Linked DNA regions of Drosophila melanogaster. The protein of the gene in region 1 binds, or shares a complex with, the protein of each later gene. Each region holds a gene or a part of one and is shown on either strand. Other genes may lie near its edges. The genes, in order: ND-75 and ND-18. A codon is read from its position in the direction of its gene.

What was found.
Region 2: the proteins of ND-75 (region 1) and ND-18 are in contact, whole or in part, in a cryo-EM structure (PDB 8B9Z), measured with the Drosophila melanogaster proteins. Residues at the interface, in NP_511083.1 of Drosophila melanogaster: Thr58 (codon at 7,952), Gln61 (codon at 7,943), Glu69 (codon at 7,848), Arg72 (codon at 7,839), Tyr75 (codon at 7,830), His76 (codon at 7,827), Glu77 (codon at 7,824), Arg78 (codon at 7,821), Leu79 (codon at 7,818), Ala80 (codon at 7,815), Val81 (codon at 7,812), Ala82 (codon at 7,809), Asn84 (codon at 7,803), Gln143 (codon at 7,626), Glu146 (codon at 7,617), Cys147 (codon at 7,614), Asp148 (codon at 7,611), Asp151 (codon at 7,602), Arg195 (codon at 7,402), Val197 (codon at 7,396), Ser201 (codon at 7,384), Glu202 (codon at 7,381), Asp207 (codon at 7,366), Thr211 (codon at 7,354), Asp238 (codon at 7,273), Arg260 (codon at 7,207), Lys261 (codon at 7,204), Ser263 (codon at 7,198), Val276 (codon at 7,159), Thr281 (codon at 7,144); in NP_573385.1 of Drosophila melanogaster: Arg83 (codon at 6,916), Arg85 (codon at 6,910), Pro90 (codon at 6,895), Lys91 (codon at 6,892), Asn92 (codon at 6,889), Ala93 (codon at 6,886), Met94 (codon at 6,883), Gln95 (codon at 6,880), Ser96 (codon at 6,877), Gly97 (codon at 6,874), Thr98 (codon at 6,871), Asp99 (codon at 6,868), Asp109 (codon at 6,838), Asn110 (codon at 6,835), Glu112 (codon at 6,829), Arg113 (codon at 6,826), Trp114 (codon at 6,823), Ala122 (codon at 6,799), Ser129 (codon at 6,719), Asn130 (codon at 6,716), Arg151 (codon at 6,653), Tyr153 (codon at 6,647), Ala158 (codon at 6,632), Lys159 (codon at 6,629), Lys161 (codon at 6,623), Lys162 (codon at 6,620), Arg164 (codon at 6,614), Val165 (codon at 6,611), Lys166 (codon at 6,608), Tyr168 (codon at 6,602).

What each region holds. Positions count from the first base shown.
Region 1 is NC_004354.4:8,243,261-8,259,277, forward strand, and holds ND-75 (NADH dehydrogenase (ubiquinone) 75 kDa subunit), read right to left. Parts: upstream 8,428-16,017; 5' UTR 8,337-8,427; intron 8,192-8,336; exon of another isoform or gene 8,129-8,191; 5' UTR 8,124-8,128; coding exon 7,941-8,123; intron 7,870-7,940; coding exon 7,538-7,869; intron 7,470-7,537; coding exon 6,443-7,469; intron 6,383-6,442; coding exon 5,894-6,382; intron 5,835-5,893; coding exon 5,670-5,834; 3' UTR 5,391-5,669; downstream 1-5,390. Other genes in the region: Trxr1 (thioredoxin reductase 1), read left to right, coding at 469-799, 2,834-3,179, 3,250-3,476, 3,548-4,434; CG1632 (uncharacterized protein), read left to right, coding at 10,164-10,196. UniProt on the Drosophila melanogaster protein: Core subunit of the mitochondrial membrane respiratory chain NADH dehydrogenase (Complex I) that is believed to belong to the minimal assembly required for catalysis. Complex I functions in the transfer of electrons from NADH to the respiratory chain.
Region 2 is NC_004354.4:19,485,923-19,499,788, reverse strand, and holds ND-18 (NADH dehydrogenase (ubiquinone) 18 kDa subunit), read right to left. Parts: upstream 7,369-13,866; 5' UTR 7,253-7,368; coding exon 7,203-7,252; intron 7,113-7,202; coding exon 6,792-7,112; intron 6,733-6,791; coding exon 6,552-6,732; 3' UTR 6,452-6,551; downstream 1-6,451. Other genes in the region: Pfrx (6-phosphofructo-2-kinase), read right to left, coding at 909-1,014; ksh (kish), read left to right, coding at 4,887-4,889, 4,953-5,062, 5,138-5,243; CG12204 (uncharacterized protein), read left to right, coding at 5,410-6,381; pcm (pacman), read left to right, coding at 7,976-8,050, 8,110-9,204, 9,274-9,582, 9,840-10,304, 10,379-10,647, 10,731-11,050, 11,104-11,997, 12,077-12,657 and 3 more. UniProt on the Drosophila melanogaster protein: Accessory subunit of the mitochondrial membrane respiratory chain NADH dehydrogenase (Complex I), that is believed not to be involved in catalysis. Complex I functions in the transfer of electrons from NADH to the respiratory chain.

The DNA.
Region 1 (16,017 bases):
ATAGTGAAATGTTAGGAAAAATTTTGACGGCCGGCTGTTTCGTTCGGACAGCAGCAGTGTTACCAACCATCCGCGAGTTATCGATACACTTGCGCATTGCCAAACGTGCGTTTCGCACATTTCCAATTGGCAAAGGGCAGAACAACTGTTGTGATGTTCAAATCCCAAATGGAATTTCGCAATCCAATGGATGCTCCTTTATGGCAAATCCATTTTATCCCAAACATTCTCGTTTTTGCGGTACGCGCTCTTGCGCCCTCTCTCTTTCTCGCTGCTTCTGTTACGTAGCCGTTTATCGGCGCCTCTGCCTGCCCACCGCTTTCGCAGCATTCCCGGCCGAACCAGCGAACGTGTTTGTGTTGTGTGTTCCGCCGTCATTTTTCTGCACCCTTTTCGCGAATAGTTTCGTTTCGCCTCCAGCTGGTAGAGTGAAACGCCAAACGTTGAAGAAGGGGAAAGGCCAACAAGATGAACTTGTGCAATTCGAGATTCTCCGTTACGTTCGTGCGGCAGTGCTCGACGATTTTAACGTCTCCTTCGGCTGGCATTATACAAAACAGAGGCTCACTGACAACAAAGGTTCCCCATTGGATTTCCAGTAGTCTCAGCTGTGCCCATCACACGTTTCAGCGAACTATGAACTTGACGGGACAGCGAGGATCACGCGACAGTACTGGAGCTACCGGTGGGAATGCTCCAGCCGGATCCGGTGCCGGCGCACCACCACCCTTCCAGCATCCACATTGCGACAGGGCGGCCATGTACGCGCAACCGGTGCGAAAGATGAGCACCAAAGGAGGTGAGCATCGATATCGATTGATATTCTGATTAGATCTTTGCTGTTGCCGCCGCAGCTGCTGCTCCTGTTGCCGCCGGTTGGCAACGCGGTCGATTGTCGCGGTTTTCTTGCTTGTTGTTTTTTCTGGGTCTTCTTGTGTTTAACCGACGCCATTATGCAATAACCGTTAGTTGCCTGGCCAAAAAGTCCATTACTCTGCTCTTATTACCTGGCTTATCGGGTTTCTGCGGCACGTATTCGCCAAGGGTTTATATGCCTGCCCGGCATTTGCTGTCTCACATTTGCACCGTCATCGTCAATCGTCATCGCGCACCCGCTCCAACTGGAATTGTACAGTCGGGGTCGCGCGAACAGCACTCGAAACTCGTATCATGCTGAAGTACATGATTTGCGCCATCGTTGTGGGCGCCAAAAAGAGCACATCCTCTAAGTATAATGGTCAACAAAGTTCTGAATCGCGTATAAATACTATGTCAGTCGAATTTTTTTAATTGAATTATGGATTGCTCATAAAACCATTACTCAATTGCAGCTTAAACAATATCAGTTATTTGCCTCAAAAAAGAATTACATCATATGACTTAACGAATTAATAATATTTGTTAAATTACATTCATACAAGTCACTTGTATTGCCATTTTGCCTTTAGCTGGTAAAAAAAAACTAATATCTATTTATATGAAGTTAAACGTATTTGATGTTTTAATTTGTAATATAATATAAATCCCACATGCCACGATCAAGTTTTCTTGTTAAATGAATAATTAGCCAATCGAGCAGATACGAAGCTTCTAATTCCGAAAACAATAGAAGAATTTACTTATAAATATATGCCATATTCTGATTTCAAATGGTAATTAAGGGTATAATAGGATTTCTTAAAGCACCAACGTGATATGTGTGATTTTTGTCGAATGCGGTGCTCTTGAACGAATAACCCTTTGCGGAATGTTCGAGAATCGCTTTATGATGATGATGATGATGATTTCACCATATCAGTCGGGTGCATTTATTCCCTTTATCTGTGTTTTCTATTTCGTATCTCTCGTATCCGTCGCTCAACGAGCGCCCGCCATCGTCTTTGATCTTTCATCATCATTGCTGAGCTGCGTCATCACCACTTCATTCCGCAATTAATTGCAGTGTGACGACAACAATTGTTTATTTGCACTCGCATTCGTACGTAGCCACCTGATTTCCCCCTGTTCCTGGCCAGGATTAGCATTCCGTCCGATAAAAGCGAATTGTGTGTGGTGTTGCCAACTAGTTTTGGGGCGTAACCATGACAAAGTCCGGCGGGTCAAAGCAAACCGAATGGGGGGGCGTAGGTGGACGGACGGAAGAAAGGCGTGGCCGGGCTGGGATGGGCGTGGCTTGGTGTGTGGCGATGTCGCTAGATGATTGCTCCACTTTGATTCGAACTCCCACTGACCCAGTGGCATGTGTGGCATTCGGCAGCACTATCGCTACCTGGCAACTGAAGCCAAGGAGCTCGACGGGATTGCACGGTGCAGATTACGGATTGCAGGAGGCCAAACAGTCTTCGTTCCGCACTTCTTTGGTCTGGATGCATCTGTTCGAATTCATACCGGCTTCCCAGTTGGTCGAGGGTGAACCACGCCACCGGAGGAGCATCTACCGATCCGCCTATCTGGACATACGACTGCGCGAGGAGTCCACCAAAGGCAGGCGGGGATTAGCCATAATCATGAGTGAAGCTAAAGAGAAACTTGAGTAGTTGGCACCACATGGCTAATTGATATCATTACCTATCACTGATAAGGATTTTCAACTAATCTAGATACTGGTTAAGAACAAAAACAGACCATGCCAATACAACATGGCTATTGATGTTACTAACGGTGATAAGTTTTTAATAATACAAGGTGAATTGGCTGTGCTACGATTAGATTTCCTGACGGCTCCTCATGTTCTGTGACCTCTTGACCTCTTTAAGCCCAATTTTGGCAGTAGATTACATATTTCTATAGACAAAAGGCGATGAATCAAACGAAAACCTTTTTTCTCCTGCAGGATCCTACGACTACGACCTTATTGTGATTGGAGGCGGCTCAGCTGGCCTGGCCTGCGCCAAGGAGGCAGTCCTCAATGGAGCCCGTGTGGCCTGTCTGGATTTCGTTAAGCCCACGCCCACTCTGGGCACCAAGTGGGGCGTTGGCGGCACCTGCGTGAACGTGGGCTGCATTCCCAAGAAGCTGATGCACCAGGCCTCCCTTCTGGGCGAGGCTGTCCATGAGGCGGCCGCCTACGGCTGGAACGTGGACGAAAAGATCAAGCCAGACTGGCACAAGCTGGTGCAGTCCGTACAGAACCACATCAAGTCCGTCAACTGGGTGACCCGTGTGGATCTGCGCGACAAGTAAGTGTGACTATATCTATGGCTTCCGCTCGAGCATCCCCACTAATTATACCCTTCTATTTGCGCTCAGGAAAGTGGAGTACATCAATGGACTGGGCTCCTTCGTGGACTCGCACACACTGCTGGCCAAGCTGAAGAGCGGCGAGCGCACAATCACCGCCCAGACCTTCGTCATTGCCGTTGGCGGCCGACCACGTTATCCGGATATTCCCGGTGCTGTCGAGTATGGCATCACCAGCGATGATCTGTTCAGTTTGGACCGCGAGCCCGGCAAGACCCTGGTGGTGGGAGCTGGCTGTAAGTAGCTACTTTCATTTGCTTACATCAAATTGATGAATAACCCATTCGGTTTCTGCTCTTTCACTCAGACATTGGCTTGGAGTGCGCTGGATTCCTGAAGGGTCTCGGCTACGAGCCCACTGTGATGGTGCGTTCTATTGTGCTGCGTGGCTTCGACCAGCAGATGGCCGAGCTGGTGGCAGCCTCGATGGAGGAGCGTGGCATTCCCTTCCTCCGCAAGACGGTGCCGCTGTCCGTGGAAAAGCAGGATGATGGCAAGCTGCTCGTGAAGTACAAGAACGTGGAGACCGGCGAGGAGGCCGAGGATGTTTACGACACCGTTCTGTGGGCCATCGGCCGCAAGGGTCTGGTGGACGATCTGAACCTGCCCAATGCCGGCGTGACTGTGCAGAAGGACAAGATTCCAGTGGACTCCCAGGAGGCTACCAATGTGGCAAACATCTACGCTGTCGGCGATATCATCTATGGCAAGCCAGAGCTGACGCCCGTCGCCGTTTTGGCTGGCCGTTTGCTGGCCCGCCGCCTGTACGGAGGATCTACCCAGCGCATGGACTACAAGGATGTGGCCACCACCGTTTTCACGCCCCTGGAGTACGCCTGCGTCGGCCTGAGCGAGGAGGATGCCGTCAAGCAGTTCGGAGCCGATGAGATCGAGGTGTTCCACGGCTACTACAAGCCCACGGAGTTCTTCATTCCCCAGAAGAGCGTGCGCTACTGCTACTTGAAGGCTGTGGCCGAGCGCCATGGTGACCAGCGCGTCTATGGACTGCACTATATTGGCCCGGTGGCCGGTGAGGTTATCCAGGGATTCGCTGCCGCTTTGAAGTCTGGCCTGACTATTAACACGCTGATCAACACCGTGGGCATCCATCCCACTACCGCCGAAGAATTCACCCGGCTGGCCATCACCAAGCGCTCCGGACTGGACCCCACGCCGGCCAGCTGCTGCAGCTAAAGCGGGAACGCAGCTCAGCCGCCTGGGACGTGTCGAAGCCGCTTGCTCCACCCGAAATCCCGTAGATGAATGGTTGTTGTCGCGGCCCAGCGATCGATGAGTTCAATAGTTCCGTTTCGTTTCCACAATTAACACCCAACACAATAGCTCTGCGCAAGGGAGGGGCACTGGGCAGCGATGGCGGGTGGAACGACACCAGTGGAACTACCCGCGCGACCAGCCCAACCCACGACTGCTGCGCCGCCGACATGCACTCAAAATTTTGAATTTGTTTGAACCTATGAAATTAACTATGAAATCCCCTAAATGTACGGTTGAAGAATATAATTTTTCACCAACAAACCCCTCTGTGTTTCAGTTCTGTGCATTTCCTTTAAAACATACCTCGACCTTTAGCCCTTCCTCTGCCTTTTCAATCAAGTAAGTTCATTAGCCATGCAAATGGCTTGACTTGACCTGGCTAAATCGATTCTGTCTGCCAGCCTGACAACTTGTTAGCCACCCGACTAATTGCTAATGCCATTGCTAGGGGAATCTTTGCCCTCGAGGGCTATAAATCAGCTACGAACGATGGCACCCTGGAGATACATATATCAGTGGGTAATAAATTATACTTTAGTTTTCAAAGGAAAAACAGTGCGTGATAAAGTGTAATAGAAGCTACGAAAAGGTTGAAGTTTATGACCTAAGGAATCCTCGCAAGCAAATCAAAATCAAATTAAGACAGTAAATTGATGCAATCAATTAATGAACAGCAAAGAGAATTCAATAGCTTCTATAAGGAATTAGCATTAATCATATATGTATGTATGGAACACTTTCGAGGTGGTATCTCCGATTGGATGCCACGAAACAAAGCGAGATGGCTATACTATGAACCAAGCGACTTGGAATAGCCCAATATACCCATAGTGAAACCCAACCCATTGATAAGTCGCTGTTGTGATATTTTTTCTATTACATTTTTATTTTGGTTTTCCTATTTTTCGTATTGAATAACTCCTTTGTTTTGAACAACGTAAGACTTTTTCATTTACAACTGACGCAGCGCTGGCGCCTCTGCAGCCGCCGATCGTGCTCCTCATCCCGCTACTGCGCTGGCTCTTCCCGCGGCTCGTCCTGGTGTCTTTGTGTCCGTTAATTAGTGGGCGAGTGCGGCGCGAAAGGACGAAGGGCAGAGTTTAAAAAAAAACATTAATTAGTTATTAGTTTAGATCAGACGCGAGAGTGGGCGCCTAGATAGCCACACTCTGCTTGGCCTCGTTCTCCCGCTGCTGCTTGTTGACCGCCGATATGCACTTGGCCATGGTGGGCGAGGCGCGCGAAATGGCGTCGGTCATGAAGTAGTCGCGCAGCTCCTTTAGCTTAATATCGATGGCGCCACCGCCGATGGATTTGCTCTGCAAACAAACAAACAGTAATAAATTACAACTTTCAATGGAGCATAATTTCAACTTACAATAGTGCCCGCTGCTCCGGCATCGCCGGCTGGCTCCAATTGGCCCAGGCGCGTTAGATGTGGCGCCACATCCTCCAGACGGTTGCGCAGCTCGTCCAGGTTGTCGTACGGCAGCGGCTTGCCCACCACCTCGGACAGAGCGCGCAGGATCTTCCAGTCCTCGCGAGCCATACCCGGTGGCGAAACACCAGGCAGCGTCTGCTGCGGCCTGCCCTCCGTGTTCACGTAGATGCCCTGCTTCTCTGTGTAGGCGGCACCAGGCAGAACGGCATCGGCAATGGAGGCGCCGTTGTCACCATGCGATCCAATGTACACCACGAAGCAGTCCTTGGGCAGCTGCTCGCGAGTCACCTTGCCAGCGTCGGCGTTCAACAGGAACAGCACCTTGGGCTGAGCCTTCACAGCGGTCTGTGCACCGGCCTTGTAGCCCACATCGAGGGCGCCCACCTGGGCGGCGTTGGTCTGCAGCACATTGAAGGGGTTCCAGTTCTGTAAGCGAAGCATGAGATTAAGCAGGAATTCATGTGAGCAAAGGGATGACAAACTTACCGGCTTCTTCAGCTTCTTGCAGTACTCGGCAACGGTGGCGTGAATGGCGGCACCATCGGCACGCTCCAACAAATCGGCTCCAATAATGATGGCCGGCTTCTTGGCACCCTCCAAGACCTTGGAGAAGGCATGAGCTCCGGAGCACACGTCCTTGACTAAAGCGGCATCGGCGCCAAGGTTCTCGTGGTCGTAGGACAGATCGATCTTGGGTCCAATCGAGGCAATCTGCAGTTCGTTGTGCACATAGGCCTTGCGCAAACGGGTGTTGACCAATGGAGCCTCGTAACGGGGATTGGTGCCCACCAGGAGAACGGCGTCGGCCTCCTCCAAACCGGCAATGGTGCTGTTCAAGAGGTAATTAGCACGGTTGTCGGTGCCTCCGGCAATAAATCCTTGTTCAGTGGCGACCACTTCGCTGCCCAGACGGTTCAGCAGATCCTTCAGGGCCACCTGAGCCTCCAGGTCGGCAAGTTGGCCAGAAATACCGGCAATCTGTCCACCGGCTGCCTTAATGGCCTTGGCCACGGCGATGAGGGCACCCTCCCACTCTACGGCCTGTAGTTCGCCGTTGGGCATGCGCACCATGGGAGCCACCAGGCGCTGGCGCTTCAGACCGTCGCAGGCGAAGCGCGATTTGTCAGCAAGCCATTCCTCGTTGACGTCCTCGTTCTCACGGGGCAGGATGCGCAGCACCTCATTGGTGCGGGTGCTGACGACAATGTTGCTGCCGACGGCGTCCAGCACATCGATGCTGCTCACCTTACGGATCTCCCAGGGACGGGCCACAAAACTGTAGGGCTTGTTGGTCAGCGCTCCCACGGGGCACAGGTCGATCACGTTGCCGGACAGTTCGGTAAGGAAGAGCTTCTCCACGTAGGTGCCGATCTGCATGTCGTTGCCACGGCCAGTGGTGCCCAGGTCATCAACGCCGGCAATCTCGGAGGCGAAACGCACACAGCGGGTGCAGTGGATGCAGCGTGTCATGATGGTCTTGACTAGCGGTCCGATGTCCTTGTCCTCGACAGCGCTGTTAACGCATTAGGTAGAATTCAGTTCAGGTTATGGAAAAGGAACTTTATGGATTATTCTCCTTACCGCTTGCCCGTGTAGTTAATGTCCGTGAAGCGGGATCGATCGGAACCGAAGGCCATGGCCTGATCCTGCAGATCGCACTCGCCGCCCTGATCGCAGATGGGGCAATCCAGCGGATGGTTCATCAGCAGGAACTCCATGACGCCCTCGCGCGCCTTGCGGGTCAAATCCGAGTTGGTCTTGATGCGCCAGCCCTTCATCACGGGCATAGCGCAGGCGGCCACTGGCTTGGGACTCTTCTCCACCTCGACGAGGCACATCCTGCAGTTGCCGGCCACCGCAAGACGTTCGTGGTAGCAGAATCTGGGTATCTCCACGCCGATCTGAGCAGCAGCCTAGGATTTGCAGGGCATAGGGGATATGGGTTTAGAAGGCACTTCCCGCGAACGAGGGACTGGAAACCAACCTGGAGGACAGTGGTGCCGGGTACCACCTGCACGGGAATGTCATCCACAAAGACCTCGATCTTCTCGGGCGCTTTCGCCGGTGTCTGGGCCACCATGGCGCTGGTTCGCACCGCCCGGCTGGCCATCTGATGTGTGGGCGAGCCCAGAGCGCCCAGCGCCTTGACTAGCGGTGCCCGTATCATATTTTCTGCAACGAGATGGTAACCAAAAATCCGTTGCAATCGGAGGAGCCAATAAAAATTACATAAGTGTTTTGGTACGCTGGTTGGCACAACACTCCCGCATATCGATTGTTCGCGATTCGTGTGCGTTTTCGGAGTCAGCTCCTCCACTGCACCGCCATTTGCCACCTGAATGGGGATCCTGGAGGATGCCAAAAGTGGGCGAAGACCTACCGAAATGCTGGAAAATATTCCTGTGATCTTTTAATGTGGAGACAACTTTTTTTTTATCGGATTTTGCTTTGACAGACCGACCGCGTTGCCAACTGCCGCGTTGACAGCTGGTCAATCGCAATAGTTTATCGGTTTTTAAATTTATTCCTTAAATATAAATTTATGTGCGACACCAATTTATAAATCTCCGAAATTAGTTTTCTATTCAAAAAGTATATATTTGATATTGTTACCTGCTTCGATTACCACCTTCAAGTTCAAGTGTTACTGTAGTTGGCAACGCTAGTGAACAGCTGTTCAATTTGTTTGGCCATTCACTTGTGAGCGAACTCAGTATCAAGCTTCAAATCTCAAATCACAGATGGAGCCACTCAACTAATTTATTCGCGCTCTCAAAATTAAACGAATTTTTAAAACTTATTACTTCAAATTAAATATAGTTCACTTATTTTATTTAAGTTCAGAACTGTATTGTAAATATTTTATTTTTGTTCTTGACTTTAAATGATTTGTTGTTAAATATTTGACAGTTTTGATAGAAGTTTTTTTTGAAGTTTTTACCACGTAAAATTAAATGTTTTGTTTTATTTTCAGTTCTCTTATCAGCTAACACTCATACAAACGTATGTGCGTACTTATGTATATCTGGCCAGGATCTTTTCCGCTTCATACGAATTAATCATCGCATAAATTACCGGCTTAAAAGTGCAGCGTTATTCTCGTTACACAGAGAGAAATTTGGTTTAATTTTTTGCATAAGATAACACTTATCAGTTGTAAACAGAGAACAGAATTGAAATGATTTAATGATTTGTATGTAACAATACTGCAAATAACACATATAATATTAAGCATGCCAAACGCTGAAAATTAAGACTTCCAATCTTAAATAAACTAAGCGATTTAGAACTCATACTCTTTTGAAACAATTACTCCAAATATTATTCTACACATCATCTGTTTCATTTCTTCGGCGCGTGTAGAGTGGGCAAATATTAGGCATCAGAAGACTGAAAACTGGTTGCGACAACTTTCGTTGCGGCCGCCGAAGAAGTCGCCCCGTTTGGGCCAAGTTAGTTAGCGTTTTAGCTCCGCTCGAGACGGTCGTGCATCTTTTCTCATCGCATCGGCACTCAGATCCCAAAAATTCCCCCAAATCGCGCATTTCCAGCATACGGAGTGCATCACTTGGCGATATATTCGAAAGAAAGAAAGGTGCGCGCATGCGCATATGGAAAGCGGCAAAAGCGGCAAAAGCGGCGGTCGTGTGTTCTGCAAGACGGAGCGTGAAGTGCGGCATTGTTTGCATTTAATATATATAAATATTATATATACACATATGTATTTATTTTGTATTTTGTTTTGTTTGTATTGTGTGCCTCTGCCTAAATGCGGATAAATATGCGGAAAACCTAATCCGCCAAAAAAAACGAAACAAAAAAAAACATAACAAAAAAGCAGCTGAGGAAAAACAAAGATCGCAACAACTGGCGACGTCAACTGGCCATATCGATTGCAAGCCAAGCGGGGCTGTGTGACACTTTTCCGCGGCGCAGCAAAACAGGTTGCCATCATAGCCAGCCATTATAGTCGTTTTGGCCAGCACCTAGGGCTGCTTCACCTGCTCGCCAGTTTACCTGGATCACCGCCTGGCTAATTTGGTGGGCATGCTGTCCACTTTGTTTCGCCTTCCATAACGAAAGCAAGCGGGGAAACGCTGAAAGGTTTTGCGAGTGGCGCGAATCCGCGATAGCGGAGCAGGCGCAGGACAGCTCGAGATCCGTATCCATAGCGGGAGCCAGATCGAGATCGGAGCCCAGAACCAGGATGTCGGACATATACTACTGCAGCAACAGCCAGGTGAGTTCTAGTTCAAATCAATTACGCGTGGCCGCTGTCAGGAAATGCGGCTAATTCCAGCGGCCAGTAGTTAAACTTAATCAGAGGTCTGAAAGTACACATTTCTCCGGTTCTTAATTGGATTATGAGGCGAACTTGGAACTTCTCTTTCTTCGCGACTGGCCAATATGGCAGTAAAATTCTGCATGGCCTGGGTATGATTAATTAAATCTGCGAACGCTGTTATATGTCTAATTAAGAATTAAGAAACTAGCACAGTTTTCTGGATTCCAAATGCACATAAACTACCATTTCAATTTGATTTACTTTTACTAGAAAAGTTTGGAAAGCCATGCTGATCTCAGTTCGTAACTTGCCAATGCCTTAGATAGTTTTTTAGATAGAAAATCTAGTATCTCGCAGATACATAGATATTGAGTGGCAAAAGCAAAAGGACCTAAGCCTCTCCCTGCGCCCAGGGGCCAAAATCAAGTGCATTGTTTTGGCCATTTCCCAGACAATAGTGAAATATATCCGCGGATTCCTGGAGGCCATTTACCATAGCATTACCCATTGCCATGCCTTTGGAAATGCCTTTCGAAATTCCAAAAAAATCCGATGGGGCTGCGATTATCTGTGGGGATTCTTGAAAGGGCAACAACACTCGCTGGTTATTTGGTCATTTCGGTTTTTTTGGTTTTCGTTGGCTTATTTTTGGTCACTCGGCTTAAACGGCTTTCCAATCGCTGTCATAATTGGAAATCGTTGAGCTGCCATAATTAATGAAACAAAAGTAAAAGCGTCGCGTTGTTTGGCTGTTTGGTTTTTTTTTTATATGTTTTTTGTCGTGCTGCGGATTGGCATTATGCAATAATGCTGCACTACTAGACGGCGATATCGGTAACCTGCTAACGATTTCCAATCTGCAACGGGATCGCATCCACAGTAGTCGTCCGCGCATGTACAGTGGCCACTCGTGTTAACGCCCTCTTGCGATCGCACACTTACTATTCCGCTCATTAGAGTAATCAGTTGTATGATCATTCATATTACACAGCAATAAAATGTTACAATACTCACCCACTTCATTGTGCATTCACTTCTAATAACAGGTAAAGCAGCAGCTTAAGTTCGAAAATGAGTTAATTTTAAGCAAAATGTAATGGTAGCTTAAAATGTATTTAATATAGTAATTTATAAAAATTGCACTTGAATATTTTGTATATTTCTATTGAATCATAGACTTATTTGACCGCTTTGCTTGCATTTTGGCCCACTGTGTGAGCTTTGGCTACTGCTAAGTTTATGGAAATTACAATGCCACGCCCCCTTTTCGTAGCTGGGGGCAGCAGCATCCCCACACACACACACACACATGCACACGCACACATGCATAGAAAGAGAGCAGCGACTTGAGCTGCGTTTAAGTGAAAGTGCGTCCCGTTATAAGCCAATTTTGACTTAGTAACTTACTTTTGCCGCTCGCTGTTGTTGTTATTAAAATTGTTGATTGTTGCTTTTGCCGCGGGCGCTTCGCTGTTAAAATCTGGCCCGCCTCAACGAAAGAAATCAAAAGTTTGTCACACTGCAAAAAAAAAAGTGGTGACTTAACTTAGGGACTAAACTTAGATATTTAACAAGAAAGTTATGTAGAATCCCAAATGGTTGGCTTTTCATTAAATTACGTATAGAACTTGATTTGCATTGGCGTATTGCTTACAAATTGGAATTGCTTCAAATTAGACTCTTATTTCTTTCTGTGCATAATGCGTTGTCGTCTTCTGCGTCTTCGCAAATCTTCAGCTCGCTGCGATTTTAATTTGCAACTGTTTTCTTGCAAAAATGTCTGTTGTTTCTGTTGCTTTTCTTTATTATTATTATTTCCCTCTTGTAATTTGTGTCTTGTTTTATTTGTTTTTTTTTCTTTTTGTCTTTCGCATTTTGTGTCTTGTATTTTGTATTTCTCCCAGCAATCAGCAACTGTTTTTTTTTGGTGGCATGTATAAATTTGTTTGTGAAATGAGTCGTTGAATACTTTGGACGGGTGTTTCTCTTTCTTTTGTTGTCTCGCCTGATGAGAATTTTTCGAATAACAAAATATGTCGTTTCTAACAATAATAGTGTTAAGTTGCTGGCTTGAAAACGAATATGCTATGCTCTACCCTTGAAATATTCAAAAGAAGTTGCTAGCAGATTGATGATTTTGTTATTGAATTAAGTTGAGATTTGAAAAGCTAGTAACTTTTAATATCTAAAAATTAAAAGAAGAAGAGTGTTTGTTATGTTTTAAAAAATCCATTCCAACAAATTGTCTCCATTAAATGTTGCGTTCTAATGGGTTCGCAATTGAAACCAAGGCCATGGACTACGAAAAAAAAACTGCATGTGAAAGACATTTGTTAACGGTATTATTCACCACATTTTTGGAACCAAGGCTTTTCGACCAAAGTTTGACCAAAGTTTTTCTCGCTTGTTAGTTGTTTATTGTTGTTAGTTGTTGCTTGGTCGATGTTGCTTGTTGCAGGGCGTGTGTGGCTTAAATAGGGCCTCTACCCCCCCTCCCTCTTACTGTTGTAATTGTTGTAATTGTTGGTGTTGGCCGCCAAAGGCAAAACAACGAGCATTGAGCAATTTGGAGTTTTGCTGCGATTGTTGTGGGTTCATTCCATTTCATTTCATTTCGATTCGTTTCGTTTTCTTCTCACAAGTCCGCCCGCTGTAATTTAAACTGCGATCTGTATGAATACATACGTATGCATATGCACAGCTGCAAGCGAAGAAATAGGTTTCGTTTTGGCCAAGTTACGGAGATAATAACCATGCTTGAAATTATCTGATTTTTGTCAATTTTTTTTTGGTTAAAAATATTCTGTATTTTTTCGATAGCAGTCAAAATAATTGGCCAAATATGGAATGTCATACCTCGTTGAATTCGTAACGAAATTCCCTACCGAACTGTATTCAAACATGGAAATTTTAATTTTTTGCCACTTTTCGCAAATTTTGATGATGGTACCCCTTACAAAAAATGCGAAAATTTGGGCCAAAATTAATTTTTCAAAGTCCTTCCAAAAGTGACAGGGATGGTTAGTATTGGTAATTAGGAGCACAAAGTTATACCCAAAAAACCCATATTAAATATTGAATTTTCTGACAAAAATCGTTTTCTTGATTTTATGCGAAAAAATAATCGGTAAGTTTAGCATAGCACTTAAAATAATGGCCCAAATATGAAATGTCATACCTCGTTGAGTTTGTTTCTTAAATCCCAATCGATTTGCATTCAAATTTGGGAATTCTAGGTTTTTTCAATTTTTTGCAAATTTTGATGATGGTACCCCTTACAAAAAATGCAAAAATTTGGTAAAAAATTAATTTTTCAAAGTCCTTCCAAAAGTGATAGGGATGGTTAGTATTGGTTATTAGGAGCACAAAACTGTTATTCTTTTGGCTGTGTGGGCATTTTTAGCCAAGTTATACCCAAAAAACCCATATTAAATATTGAACTTTTGGCTAAAAATCGTCATCCTGATTTTTTGTAAATAAAATAATCGGTAATTTTAGCACAGCATTTTAAATAATGGCCCAAATATGGAATGTCATACCACGTTGAGTTTGTTTCTTAAATCCCAATCGATTTGCATTCAAATTTGGGAATTCTAGATTTTTTAAATTTTTTGCAAATTTTGGATGAATTTACAAAAAATGCGAAAATTCGTGAAATTTTTTTTTTCCCAAATCATAAAAGTAGTGATAGGGAAAGTTAGTTTGGTTTATTACCAGCACAAAACAGTAATCATTTTTGCTGTGCTATCTTTTTTGGTCAAGTTATGGAAAAAACCAAGTTAAAGAATGGTCAAAAAAAGTAAACAACATTTGTTCTCCTGTTGAAATGTTATTCTACCTACACAAAATGCATATTTCAACATAAGTAAATTTATTTAATTGAATAATCATTTAAGCGTATTACTATATTGAATAGGCATTCAATGGTGGTAATGAATAATTAATTAATAAATGTTTTCCATCTGAAAAGGAAAGACCATAGTGCTGTGACCGCGACTGTGCGTCGCCATGTGTGTGTGTGGCTTGGCATTCCAATAAGTCCATGGGTCTAGTCTCGGTCTGGAGTTGGGGCTTGGGTTTGGGTTTGGGTTTGAGTTTGGATTTGGATTTGAGTTTGAGTTTATGCGCCAAAAAGTGATTGCAGCGACGACAACAACAGCAGCAACAACAAACTCGTTTGGCTTAGAAACAAACGCAACAACTTTCAGTTGTCTGCCGACGATTTTGCTTTGCGGCGATTTTTTCCATGTTTTTCTAGGCTTATCTGACTCGTGGGGCCCCATTATTGTCTTAGCTATTTTCGGTTTTCGTTGGCGAATTTTTCCCTCACTCTCTTCTCTTCTCAATTTATTTGTTTTTTTTTTTTGGTTTTGTTTTCTTCGCCTTTTTTGCACAATCACCAGCGACAGCAGAAATCACTAAAGTCTTAAGAGCGCAAAAGAACAACAAAAGCGCTCAATCGGTTGGCAACTATCAGTAATAAACCAAATTTGGGAGTGCATAAAAATCAAATTAATACCAAATTTATTTGAAATCAACAAAGATGTGGGGAAACTTTTCGTTTTGCACAGAGATTTGCCTATTAGCCATATTTTCATCCATCTTCAAGCTGCGTTTTCCACTGGCTGTCGCATTTTGCAGTCATGTGCAACAGGTTCACCTTACCAAAGAAAATCCAGCAATAGCAACAAAAAGCAACAATATGAAACAAAATGTTGTTGCCATTTGGCCAAATGCCACAGCATAGCAACAACTTGGGGGATTGGCAACAAAGTAAGCTGACTTAACTCTCTGAAAGTCAGCTACTCCATTAATATATGCATTGTATTAATATATACACAATATATATATCTATGTATCATTAATAGAACTACTAACTACAGCAAACAATGTAAGATTTTGTATAATTATTTAATATTAAATAAGCAAATATTGCCTAAAAGTTTCCAAATTGAAACACAATGCTACCAACTTTTTATTTCACGTCGCGTAACATTTCCAGTGCTTGCGATCGTGGGCTTTAGTGGGTTAAGCTGAGCTTGATTTTTCTGCTGGTCTGAGCACAATCAAATATTTTCTGAATCGACCTTTTGACAGAGCAAAGTAGCAAATCATTAAAGCAGTAAAGCGCTTAAGCAGCGGAAAAAACACTGTGGAAAATACATAAGTAACTCACGTCAAACGTTACCTGCCATTTGTTATAAACTTAAAGGAAAAAAACACAATGGATTTTGTAGTAATTTTTTTTCCGTGTACACTTACGGCTGCTCCTGTGAGTGCAAAAGAGAGAAAAGAACTTTCTCCCGCTGCATGCATTTTTCGACAAATGTCATTCAAATAAATTAGAAGTAAAGAAGGTGGAAGGGGGGGTGGGGTGCTGCAGGGGGAAGGCCAGAAGAATGGAGGAGCAAACAAAACAAGCAGTGACAAAAGCCACAAAAGCGAAGTCTGCGCTCTCAGAAGAAAGTGGCACAAATCTTCAAGCTCTCCTCACAACATTTCTTTGCTCTTTCGCAATGAACACTTATTACTCGATTTATGGCTATTTCTGCTTACTAAATATATTTCTGATTTATTCTTGCAGATACATATATGTGTGTATATAGTACTTGAAAACTAGAAAACGATTGGCAAAAAGCGCACTGCTTGCAGCCTTGAACCAGTGACGTCAGCGGCGTGGGCAAATTGTTTTTATTTTTTTTTTTTTACTTTTAATTTTTGCTTGCCTTTTCAAGGCGTGTTTTTTTTCGTCTCTTATTCGAATTGTTTTCTTTTT
Region 2 (13,866 bases), about 11 Mb from region 1:
GAAATTGAAGCCGTAGACAGCTTCCGATCAGCAAGGTGATATTCGCTGGGCCCCACCAGACACAAACAAACAAACAAACAAACAGGAATTATAAATAACGGACCCTCAAGGCCGCCGGAGGGGCGGAAAAGGGGTGCAAAGCGGGTGGGAATGGGGTGGCTTGTGCAAAGCGGTCAGGTGATACGGATAGCAAGTGAAAAAATGACCAAATCACAGCGATTCCTCGGTGCCTCTGTCGTATGTGCTGCTGTGTTCTGGCTTATTTTTCCGGTTCCCCAAAGAAAAGCGAGAAAAATGGAATGATAGAAAATGAAGGCGACCGACGACGGCGACGACTACGTGGTGTTGCATATAGCAAAAGCCAGAAAACTTGAAAACTAGCAGTCGTAACAACAATAACAAAGGCGGCAGATAGGAAATTCACAAAAATTAGCAAAAATAGCAAAATGCCAGAATACACTTGAAAATAAAAACAAACAAAGCGTTTCACTGCTTCAGATTCTCATTCTTCATAGGATGCCGATACGACCGCCGATGACGATGATGACGAGTGGGGATGGCGATAATGACGCCAAAATGAGAAGGGAGCCAAGCGCCGCATAAACAAACGACGTAAATGGCAATGCTGCGTGTAATCCCCACAATAGAAAACCCATAGAGAGAGATAGAGAGAGAGAGAAAGAGTGGATGCCCAAGAATAGGCACTCTACTCCCCACACTCCCCACTCTGTGCTATCGTCGCTGTGTTAATGAGCCAAAGAATAACTGCTAATCAAGGTGGTGGTGCCCACAGCCCCGACAACCCAGACAACCCAGACACCCCAAACAACCCAGTCAGCACAAATGGAGTGCAACGTGGGTGAAATGAAGAGACTCTGGCGGGAATCTACACTAAATAGTATACGTACACAGGGAGGGGGCCATATCCGGATCCGGATCCGTATCCGTGGTTACCGAGCTGATCAGGGGTTTGTAGCCGGCGTAGAGCGGCGCCGTTGCCGTCGACTGAGCCATTGCCCTGGAATGCAAGCAGTGCAGGCGCGCGCTGAATGCAAGCAGTGTGCAGAGCGCCCGACCACCGACTTCTGGCCACTTTATCACTTAATCACGCGATTTGCTATTTGTTTTGAATCGTTACAAGCCAAAGGTAAACAAAACAGAACGGAAAAAAAAATCACAGATTACTTTTGCTACAACGCTAATTTCTTAGTACGCAAATAATAAAAAAAAAACAAAATAGTTAAAAAAAAAGAACAGAGAAAAAACACACGAATTCTCGTATTTTGACTTGATTTTGACTCGATATTGATGTGGGGGCGCACAGCACACAGAACAGCACAAGAAACGAAAGTACAAAGCGAATCCGCCGAACCGCGTATCAATTCAGTTCGGTTCAGTTCAGTTCCGTACACGTCGCTTGGCAAAATCGAAATGAGCAAAATGCGCAAAGCGGAGCGAGTCAAGTGCGCGGAGCCCCGGACCGCCGTTTGCGAAAGCGATGCGAAACGAAGCGATACGACACGAAACGGCACGCGAGCGATCCGATCCCATACGATCCCCCACGATATGATACCATCCGATCGGATCGCCGAGCGAGTACCAAAAAATCAAACAAAACAGCATAGCCGCAATAGGCGAGCACGGTACGGGGTACGGACCCCGTCGATTCCACCGATGTCGCTGACTCTCGGAATCCGGGAGTCCCGAGTCCGCATCGCTTGGCTATTCCTATGCAGGAATTACGAAAGGTTGCGGTAAATAGCGCAACAGCAGCGGTCGAAAAAACAGCACCCCTACAAAAGAGATCAATCTGATTGGATTTACTGATAATATATTGTACTATGCTATGCCCATTTAAAGTGAAAAGCCAATAAGACAGATTGCAAGAACGTACTTTTCACATCAAATATGTAGTTTAGTTCCAACTTGGCCTAAAAAAGCAAAAAATATATAAATATTCCGTTACACCTATGACAGGGCATTTAAAAGTGTATAAAAGAGATTAAATATTGCACCTCCAAGCCATTACCAAGTTTGCTGGCTTGGCAAATAGCACGATTTGTAACATTGTTTTAATCTTAAAACGCGTGTCATTACACGATAAGCTTTTATTGCACTTCCGTCCCTTACACCTTGAGAAACTATGGCGATCTCTTTGAACAGAGATAGCCGCGTGTGAAACTTTGGTAACTGACAAACGATATGCAATGCATTTAATTAATAACAATAAATTTAAATACGTAATTAAATGGATTAAATATGCATACATATGGTGAATGTGTCAGTGTAATATAATATTTAAAGCCATGCAAAGGAATTGAGGTGGAACGTATTTTAGATGGAATGAGAAGATTTTATTTAAAAATGAAAAATATTCCTCACCCGAAAAATTGTAACATTCTAAGCCATTCTAAGCATATTATTACAACTTTACAAATGTATTATTATAAAAAGTAAGCAATTAAACTAATTGCATTATGGATAAAACTTGATAAAATTAACAGAAAGAGTATATAAACGTCGGCTTATACTTTTGGTAGATTTGCTATTAATTAAATTTTTAACAATTGTTTAATATTCATTCCCATATTTTCCGCCGGTCAAAAGATGATATAAACAACCGATAGTCTAGGTATCGCATAAAGCGTAAGGTGATAAGGGAATGGCAAAAACATCTGTACAAAACGAAAGATGGGCACACAACAAGGGCCGAAAAAGCTTTCACGGCAGCAACAACACTGCGCGGCAGAATGCAACACTGTAAAAGCTGCGCAGCAGAGCAATGGCGGCCTACTGTAAATGTGTGTGTGTGCGCGCGGTGGTGGTGTGTGTGAATGCCTGTGTGGTGGGCCATCGGCCAGCGAGAGAGAGCGAGGGAGATGGAGAAACCACAAAGAGAATCTTTCAGTGTACAGCGGAAAATTCACAAAACAATTGCGTAAATGCTCCTTCATTCATCAACATGATAATCAGCATGAAAAACAAAATATTGCTTGTTTACCGTTTACGAATCGAGGCACACGCAGCGATTACCGACTTTGCTGGAAGAGAAACCGATAACAATAAATGCACCCGATGAATACAGAAGGCAGAGTGGAGCGAAACTAAAAACAAAAATAAAGAGCGCACACTAGAGCGCGACTTTTTTGCATTGCATTGGTGTGTTATCGGTGTCGGTGGCCGCTCTGCGCATGTGCGTAGTGTTTTGGTGTTCGCGGGTGTAGGTCCATGGGTGAATGTGTCATGAAAGCACTGGAAGAGGATATAATAATGCAACTCACCTCCGGTTCGCAGCACTTTAAACCGTAGCACTTTAAAATTGGGGGTGGGGTTAAAAGAGCATATACTGTTTGTATTTTACACTTTTCACTCACGATTTACCGCCCCTCGAGTGGGGCACTCCGATAACTTTGGCGCGGATCTATGCGAGTGGCCGTCACTGTGCTGTTAGCAGCTAACAGTGCTGTAATCGCCGACGTCAACGATACACGCAAGTGCGTGTGTTTGGCGCGCGTGCGGGTGTGTGTGTGTACTTACATAAATACACATGCAAGGAACCGATTCGCGGATCATAGCTTAGCTTAATATTGCAGTCGGGAACTTACCGCTTTGCCAGTGCAGCGACTGGAAGTCATCGCTGCTGCTGCTGCCACAGAATGTTATTGTTTTTCTTGTTGCAGTTCCTGTTTGCCTCTCTGTTGCTCCGGCTGCTGTCTCGCTCGTGTTCCCTCTCTCTTACTCACTCGCACTTAACAACAAAACCCAGCGCGCTCGTCACACACACACTGTATTACTGATTTAAATACACACGCACACACACCGACAGGGGGGGCAATGAGAAAACGTATCCGATTATTATATATATGTACATGTATATCTAAATATACTTTTGATTTTTATGAGCGCGCTCAGTTACAATTGCATTGGCAGCACCATCGTATTCACAGACGTACACGCACACACATTGGGGATGCACTCGGTCGGGATTCTCCGCTCCTGCTCCCCTCCTTCATCCCCTCGCGATACCAAGTGGAAAACGAAAACGGGCCACAAAAATGAAGAAAAGAGCCAAGGAAAACGCAAAAGCACGGGCGGACTTAAAGCCAAATCGAACGATTTACTGACGCTCGCCGAGAATTGGCCAAAGCTCACCAATCGGAACAGCAAGACACTGATTTGCCAAGCGGGCGATCGAAATTGATCGGATTATATGTAACAACAAACACAAAAAAAATACCCGCAGCGAATTAGAAGTTGCAGACAAATTGCTAGAGGTGGCCCACTGCGTCGATGTTTATGCGATACTATGTGCGATAAGTGTGGACCCATCGATTGCTGTTCCGCGCCAGTCGATTGAATTCACTTGACCTAATAGCCCGATTCCATTGGCACATATTTCAATTGGGGGAAGCTCCACTGCCAACGTTAATTGAAACAAAGTCTTATCTTATTTCATTTACTTGACCCACGGTTGGATTGCAATACAAGTTCCGATACTATCGAAATTAAGCTTACGTTTTTTTGTATACGATGTCTTTTGTAAACTCTTGCACTTTTCAATACTTCCTATGGCGTTTTTATGCTCCCTGTGGGAACTTGGCTAAGAGCTTGTTACTTTCTATTGTAAAATATTTATCCAATGTCCATCCCAGATAATGGAAGTAGGTCGCCAAAATATGTATTTAATATAAATATATTCTTATATTAACTCCTAAACATTGTAACATTCCTTATCATTCTAACAGTTGATTAACCACCTATCGAATCAGTCGAAACGTGAGATTCCAGTTTTGGAACCAGTTCGCCTGCGCCGAGCGGCTGGCACGTCACTAGTTTACCGCTTGTTGTTATTCTATCGCCAAGCACGGATTTCGATTTGCTAAATCATGGTTTGAAACGCTCACCTAACCGATACTCCTCCGTCGTACACTTAGCACCGTTTCCCTCCACAGAGCGCCCTGTTCAACTTCCACAGCCTGCTGTCGGTCATCCTGCTGCTGATCTGCACCTGTGCCTACCTGCGCTCGCTCTTCCCCAGCTTGATAGACCGCAACAAGACCGGGTAGGTGCCCGTTCCCGCCCTGACCAGTCCACTGATTGTTACCACACTCAACACTCGTCTGCTGTCTGTTTGCAGATTCATGGGCACCTTCTGGAAGCTGGCAAGGATTGGGGAGCGCAAGTCGCCGTGGGTAGGAGCCGCCTGCCTGATCATGGCCTTCACCGTTCTCTTTTGGAGCTGAGCTCCTGCATCCCGCATCCCCTCCAGGAGCCGAATGGCACCATAGATTAGATATTCCAAACTTTCTAGGACTGTAAATACACGCTGCGTTCTGCAGCACTGGCCGCACATTTCGGGCTTTCCCAACACTTGCTGTTCTGTTCTGTTCTGTTTCGCGCTGGCTAAAAATGTCTGGCGAAGATGTGGACGAGAAGCGAGAACAGCTGCGTCTTTTTGTGACAGCCAGCAGGAGGCGTCTCCACGTCATCCTGCAGCGCTTCGGTTGGAGCGAGCGCGGGGTGATGGGGGCGGGTAGCCACAGACCACAGGACAAAAACGGCGCAACTAAATCGGAGGTGTTAGAGCCATTGCCATTGCCGGCGTCATGCAGCAACAATCCCGACTTTAGCATCCAGCTCGATGACTCGACTATTCAGGGCATTGTGGGCACCGAAAGAGCACGACGCCTCCTTCCTGCTGCCTCCTTTGATGATCTGCAGGCAGGACTCGACGCGAGTCAGCGGCTGCTCATCTACGAGCACGTTCTAAAGCACACCAAGAAGCACCCGCAGTTCCAGGACAACACCGCCTTCGCCGAGGTGGTGGGCGAAACCCGGCGTCAGCAAAAGAATCATCGGCGCCACCGCAAGAGCAAGCCCACGCTCAACGAGGAGCTGCACCAGCTAGTCAGCCTGCAGATGCAGGCGCTGGAGAAGCAGTGGGAACAGGAGCACGGCGGGCGGCATCATAAGCAAGTCGACCGACAGGAGCACCGCGGACGGTATGTTGAGCAATCCCAGCAAAGGACGCAAACGGAGCGGCAACAGGATCACAAGGGACGACGCGATAAGCCAGCGGAGCGGTTTCAGGAGCACCAATGGCGGCACAACGAGCAAACGCAGCACAGGCAGCGGTACCAGGAGGACAGAGGGCGGCATAACGACCAAATGGATCGTTTTAAGGAGCACAAGGACCGAGGACAGCGACAAGAGCATCGGGACTGGCGCAACGAGCGCAGAGATTGGTACCAGCATCATGATGACAGCCGGAAGAGAAGCCGCAGTCCGAGCAGGCATCGACATGGCGATAGGCGTCGGGAGGAGCGAGAGCCACGCGAGAAGCAGCACAATAGGCATCGCTCCCAAACCGCTCGTCATTAGAGCGGCATGTGATGGTGCCGCTTCCATTGGCAGCGAAACTGGTGGCCATTACATGGTGCTGTGGTCATTTGAGTCCAGCCGACTGTTTATTTGGGTACTCAGATAATGAACAAAGCAAAAAAAAAATCAGATAATTGTGGTCTATAATCCTGGCTAGCTGCGGGGAGCGTCTACTTGGTGGAGACGCGCGTGCGCTTGTTCCAGGCAAAGTTGATGCCGTAGTTCTTGACGCGCTCCTTCTTGGGCTTCGCGGCGCCGTCGACGTACCAGCGCCATCCGTTCCGTTCGCAGAACGTGATGGCCTCCTCTGGGGATCCGAACTGCACGTTCATGTTGGACAATGGGTCGCCGCTGGAACACGAGACGTTGACCAAGGTTGCCATGGCATGGTGGACGTGCCAGCTACTCACCTGGAGGCCCAGCCCATGAGCGGATTCTCCCAGCGCTCGCGGTTGTCGAACTCGATTTGCCAGGTGTTCACGTTATCGGTGCCGCTCTGCATTGCGTTCTTGGGCGGAATATGGATGCGCACACGGCGCTCCCGAATGTGCTCCTCCGGAACGCCGCTGATCGGGCTGAGATTGACGGCAGTCGGCACGGTGATCTTGCCACTCAGCTTGTTGCGCTGCTCCAGCTCTTCGGGGCGGGCCAGGGCCGTCTTGGGGTCCAGCGGACCGCCGTCCGTGGCGGTGGATGCCCAGCGGGCAGCGGCTGCCCTGTTGGCCTGGTACCTGCGGTGTCAAGATGCGAAAGTGGATAATTAGAGGGCTGCAGATTTGCCAGGTCGGATGCACTTGCTCCGGCCAGGCGGGGGTACCTACAGCTGCAGGGAGGCGGTGCTTCTGCACATCACTTGGCGGAGGGCCGACATTTCGCTAGGCGTTTGGGGCTACACGGCAGAAATCGGCTTCAAAATACGAATTACGTAAAATTTGGAACACAAGCGCTTTTCGATTGGGAAAACAGCTGTTCGCCAGTGCCAGTGTGACCAGGCGAGCGGTGAGTGTTTTTATTCTAATTGGAAACAGTGTGGCCCCTCGCCTTGGATGCGATGCCACAATAGTTCAAAAACAGTTTTCTTCTTTTTCACTTCGAACTTCGCAAAAACTATGAAATGCTGTTCAAGTGGTAAAATGAACTTTAAAATGAAAATGAATGAAATGAAATACACTGATGATGAACTAGAGAAGTAACTAGAACTAAAACTATGCTATTTGTAAGCCAACTGTTTAAATGATGAGCATTGCATTTGCCCAGTGCTGCCAGATATGTAGGTGTTCTTAGCTCCTTTTAGCTTAATTTCACCATTAGCTGATTATTGGCAAAGGAGCCCGTTTCGCTTATCGATTCTAATATCGATTTGAATCGGTCAGGGTCCTTATTCTTTCAGTTATTCATCGAACTGCGGAATGCCGCCGGCCCTACCACATGGCAATAGCGAAACGTTGTGGCAACGCCTCGCCTACTTGCAACTTTTGTGTCAATCAATACATGTTGAAAACAGATAAAGACACAAATTTTTCAGTTCATCTAAATTGCCACTGATCCAGGCAGAACAGCACGGCGGCAGAACAGTCCCATCCAGAACAGCGACATGGGCGTTCCCAAGTTCTTTCGCTACATCAGCGAGCGATATCCGTGCCTCAGCGAATTGGCGCGGGAGCACTGCGTAAGTAAAGCTGCTAGGTCACGTTATATGTTGCCATGCACCGTACGGTTCCTTTGCAGATACCCGAGTTCGACAATCTGTACTTGGACATGAACGGCATTGTCCACAACTGCTCGCATCCGGACGACAACAACATACACTTTCACCTGGAGGAGGAGCAGATATTCCAGGAAATCTTCAACTACGTAGACAAGCTGTTCTACCTGATCAAGCCGCAGCGCCTCTTCTTCCTTTCAGTTGACGGGGTGGCTCCACGGGCCAAGATGAACCAGCAGCGCAGCCGGCGATTCCGGACGGCGCGCGAGGCGGAGCAGCAGGAGGCCAAGGCGGCCCAGCGAGGCGAGTTGCGAGAGCACGAGCGCTTCGACAGCAACTGCATTACGCCGGGCACCGAATTCATGGTGCGTCTGCAGGAGGGACTGCGCGCCTTTCTCAAAACGAAGATTTCGACGGATCCGCTGTGGCAGCGTTGCACCGTAATCCTAAGTGGCCAGGAGGCGCCCGGCGAGGGCGAGCACAAGATCATGGACTACATTCGGTACATGAAGACGCAGCCGGACTATGATCCCAATACACGACACTGCCTTTACGGCCTGGACGCCGATCTGATCATTCTGGGCCTCTGCACCCACGAGCTGCACTTCGTGGTGCTGCGCGAGGAGGTCAAGTTCGGGCGCAACGTCAAGCGCACCTCGGTGGAGGAGACGCGCTTCTTCCTGCTGCACCTGGGTCTGCTGCGCGAGTACCTCGAGCTGGAGTTCGACGCCCTGAGAACAGACGAGCACAAATTGGACATTGCGCAGCTTATCGACGACTGGGTGCTGATGGGCTTTTTGGTCGGCAACGACTTCATTCCCCACCTGCCGTGCCTGCACATTTCATCAAATGCACTGCCGCTGCTCTACCGCACCTACATCGGCATTTACCCGACCCTCGGCGGCAACATCAACGAGAACGGCAAGCTCAACCTGCGCCGCTTGCAGATTTTCATATCGGCCCTCACCGAGGTGGAGCTGGATCACTTCAAGGAGCACGCCGACGACTTGAAGTACATGAACAACAAATCAGAGGCGTTCGACATGGACGTCGGCGAGATCACCGAGTCTCAAAACCTCGACTCCGATCTCGGAGCCCTCATCAACAAGAGCATGCTGGTATGAACTCTCTGCACTGACCGCCATCCCGTCATTTCCGTCCGCTCAATGCCGCCTTCCCATCCACAGCTCTACGATGACGACAGCGAGGAGGACTGCTCCGACGAGAACGCGGTTCTTCTGAAGGAGTTCCAGAACTACAAGCGAAACTTCTACCGCAACAAGTTCAAGCGTGATCCGAATGATGAACTGATCGAGGAACTGTGCCACCACTACGTCAATGCGCTGCAGTGGGTGCTCGACTACTACTACCGTGGCGTGCAGTCCTGGGACTGGTACTATCCCTTCCACTACACTCCATTCATCAGCGACCTCAAGAACATCGAGCAGGTGGAGATCGCCTTCCACATGGGCACGCCCTTTCTGCCATTCCAGCAGGTGAGCTGAGCACATTTAGTTAGCACCGATAACTTTCCTAGCATCAGGCTTACCATTTCTTAAACATAAACCAGAGCCACCAATTTAGACTATCATTTGCGTATCTCCTTTCTAACATATATCTATCTCCCTCTAATCCAATGGTGGTGCTAGATCATTTGGTTAAAGCAATCTTCTCAACCAAATTATCCATGTATCCATATATCTGCACACATACTAGATTTACTTAAGCCATCTGTCCAATCTTTCATATAAAGCTTCTGGCGGTACTGCCGGCGGCCAGTGCAAAGCTTCTCCCTGTCGCCTACCACGACCTCATGCTGCTGCCGACCAGCCCGCTGGCCGAGTTCTATCCACTGGAGTTCGAGAGCGACCTCAATGGCAAGAAACACGATTGGGAGGCGGTTGTGCTGATACCCTTCATCGATGAGGGTCGGCTGCTGGCCGCTATGCTGCCATGCGAGGCTCAGCTGTCGCTGGAGGAGCGCGAACGCAACCGACACGGTCCCATGTATGTGTACAAATACAGTACGGTGGCGCAGGGTCCCATGCCAGCGTATCCACCGCTGAGGGCTCTTCCCGTGCTCTACTGCACGGAGGTGGCCAAGTGGTCGCACGAAATCGCAGTCAATCTGCCGTACAGCGTGTGCATCGAGCTACCAAATGCGGCGAGAACCGTTTTCTTCCCGGGATTTCCCACCATGCAGCATCTGCCCTTCGATGTGAGTGACGCCGGGACACATGCATAACGCTCGCCATGTCCGCCATGTCTAATATGCTTGCTATTCTTTTCCAGTTCGAGCTGCGCAACGACCGCGTCAAGGTGTTCGAACAGGTCAGTCGCAACCAGAACATTGTGCTAAAACCACGCAAGCGCCAGCTGGAGGACACACTGACGGCGGTGGCCTCCCAGTACCTCGGGAAGGTGATCCACGTCGGCTGGCCGCATCTCGTCAAGGCGATAGTGGTGCGCGTGGCCACGCGAGATCAGCGCGTCGACAGCGAGGGAATCACGCTAAACGATTCGCGGCGTTTCGACTCGGAATGCAAGGCACTGCAGGAACAGTTGAGTGTGAAGCCGCCGTCTGGCCCTGCATTCACACTGCTAATGCTCCATCTTCCCTTTCCTCCTTCTCCTCCCACGACAGCTTTATCAATCGTATGGGAATACAGTTTGCCAACTATGATGTGCTCGTCTATGTGCGCACCTTTGCCGGCAATTCGACGGAGTTCCGCGACAAGGGGGCATTGATGGTGCGCGACTCGTGGAGCAGCTCCGTCACCGGCTATCCAGCCCAGGGCGTGGTGGCCGATCTGACTGTGTGGGAAAGAATGCGCAAGAATTTCCTCAACGTGGAGCACTACTTCCCCGTTGGCAGCACGATCTTCTTGATCACGGATCCGTATTACGGCAGCGAGGGAACTGTGCAGGACCCACGGCTGGCCTACACCAACGGCCGGATTCAAGGTAAGTTCGTCTCGCCATGTCCTTGACACCCCATCATCATTTCATCTCTGCAGTCAGCATCATGGTGCGACCGGAACCGAAAGTAAATGCGGCACGTCAGCTGCAGGAAGAGCGGGACCGGGACTATCTGAGCACCTTCCAGGTCTGCAACTTGCTCCGAATCAGTGGCCGCACCCTGGGACGCCTAAGTGGCACCGTGTGGGTGGTGCTCGGTCCGCGGCGTCAGAAGATGGAAAACGTGACCAAGCACAACATTGGCCTGCAGCTCAAGTATCCGCGGCAGAACGAGGAGCGTGCCGGATACTGCTTCCGCACGAACAACCAGTGGTACTACTCCAGCCTGGCCGTGGATCTGATGCGCAACTATTGCCAGCGTTACCCAGACGTTATCGACTTCTTTGGCGACTCCAACGATCGCGCCGAGTTCGTATTCGAACAGGACGTGTTCCCCAATGCGGTTGGCCATCGCCGCGTCGAGGAACTGGCCAACTGGGTGCGCCAGCAGCCGCACATGAAAGTGGAGCGCATCTCTTGCGGCTCCAAGACGGTCTGCCGCGAGACCATCGAACTGCTGATAGCCGCCGTCGACGACCTGCGCTCACTGCCCGTCAAGCACGTTAAACTGCAGGTGAAGCCGCACTTGCTCATCAAGCCCAATGTCACACTGCCAGATGTCTACCGATCAAAGCGCCCGGTGCGTCTCTTCGATCGCGTCGTAATCGTACGCACCATTTACATGGTGCCCGTGGGCACTAAGGGCACCGTGATTGGCATTCATCCCGTTACGGACCCCAACCCGGTCCGCCTGGAGTGCGTCCATGCTGTCGACACGTTCTGCAAGGTGCTGTTCGACAGCCCCGTTCCGAACTGCAACAACATCCATGGCATCGCCGAAGACCGAGTTTACAAGGTGCCCGAAATTGCCCTGGTGATCATCAAGACGGATGGTAAGTGGATTTGGCTGCATAGCCTACAGAATCGGAGGAGGCACATACATAGCAATGCTCCCACTTCCTCTCCTTGCAGAGGAAGGAAAGAAGCAGAACGACTGCGAACTGCCGGTGAGGGATCCTCAGCCGAACCAGGCACAGGACGAGCCAGTCCGCGCGACCAGCAGTCGCTATGTGACCGCCGCAGGGTCCACCTCGGTCCCGATCACGATGAAGACCCAAATTAGCGACGAATTCGTCAAGACGCGTAGCGATCCGATAGCCCGTACGGATTCGTACAAGCCATCGTCGGAGCCAAAACCGGTGCCGGTGCCGGAGCAGATTACCAACTGGCGGGAACGCGTCAGTACGCCAACAAACAAACCGCAGCCTGCGCCAAATAATTGGCGCATAAATCGGTCTTCATCACGTCAACAGGGCGGTAGTATTTTTGTTGCTCCGCCCACAAAAACTCCTGATGCAGCTGCAAGCACTGCTTCCACTGCATTCACCGCAGCCTCGTCCGCAACGCTGACTCCTCTGGATCAGACCTTGGCGCTCATGTCGGTTTTGGGCGTGGGTGAGGACCAGAGCTCGCCGCCACTCCAGGAGGCGGTGCAGCAGCAACGTCCGCCACTACTTCAACAGCAAAGAGCTCCGTTTCCCGGACAAATGCCCGTAACTGCTTTCAGCCCAGATGTGCCACCCAACCATGTGTTCACATAACTACTTTTCATTGCAGAATCTACCCAAGCCACCGCTCTTCTGGCAGCAAGAGGCGCAGAAGCAGGAGGCGCTGCAGCAGGAGGCGCAGCAGCAGGAGGCGCAGAAGAAGCAGCAGCAGGCGCATGCGCAAATGGAGCCTGAACGTATCAATAGCCAGCATTTCTACAGAAGCGGCCAGACAGGAGCGGCGTTGAATCAGCCGCCATTGGGTGCTCCATCAAAAAGGCAGTGGCATGAGTGGGTGCACCCGCGCATGCAGCACGCCAACGCATTCCACGCTGGCGTCAACAATGGATATCAGATGCGTCCCAAAAAGAATATAGCTGCGCAGAGCACCTTTAACAACAACGTGCACATGCACCTCCAGCAACCATATTACCCGAATCAGCAGCAGCAGCAGCAGCAGCAGCAGCCACTCCAGCTGACGGAGATCAACAATGCGCCACCGCGATACTCAACGATCCAAGATTTTGTGCCCATACAGGCGTACCGTCCCAAGAAATTAAATCGCGTCCAACCAGCCGGTCGTCAGGACGTCGATGCCACCAAGAATCCTAGTCGTTCGCCTGTGTTGCAGCAACCGACGAACGAGACTATAGACACAAAGGCCAGTTCTAGTCTTCCGGTACAATCAGCAGGCGAACAGGTGATTGGACTGATGCAAACGCTTGAAATTAAGGTAAGCATTGGCTACAAGTCAAAGCCTTGATTACCGAACTAATGCTTTCCTCTCGGCCGACAGCAGCCGGCTGCGTCGCAGTCCGAATCTGATGGGGTCTCAACAGGCAGTGCGAACGCGCCCACAGCAACGACATCATCCCAGGTAATGGAGGAGATAGAGATAGTTATTCTGCATAATTTACTCATTCCATTTACTCGCTTCTGTTGCAGGCGGTCAACCGAAGGAAGCATCGAGTGCCTCGCATCGGAGCCAAGTTCGACTTGGAATACATACTGCCCGACTCCCCGCATCCAACTTAAGAGCGAACAAATGGGTATTTTTAGGTTCAAATCCCACCTAGCTGAAGAAATGCAACGCTATTTGGATCTTATATCACCTTATTTCTATCTCTCCTAGTCTGTGCGAGGCACTAGAATTGCCGCACACGATAGATCATTTTTTTTTTAGAGTTGCGGATTATGTGAATACTAAAATGAGAC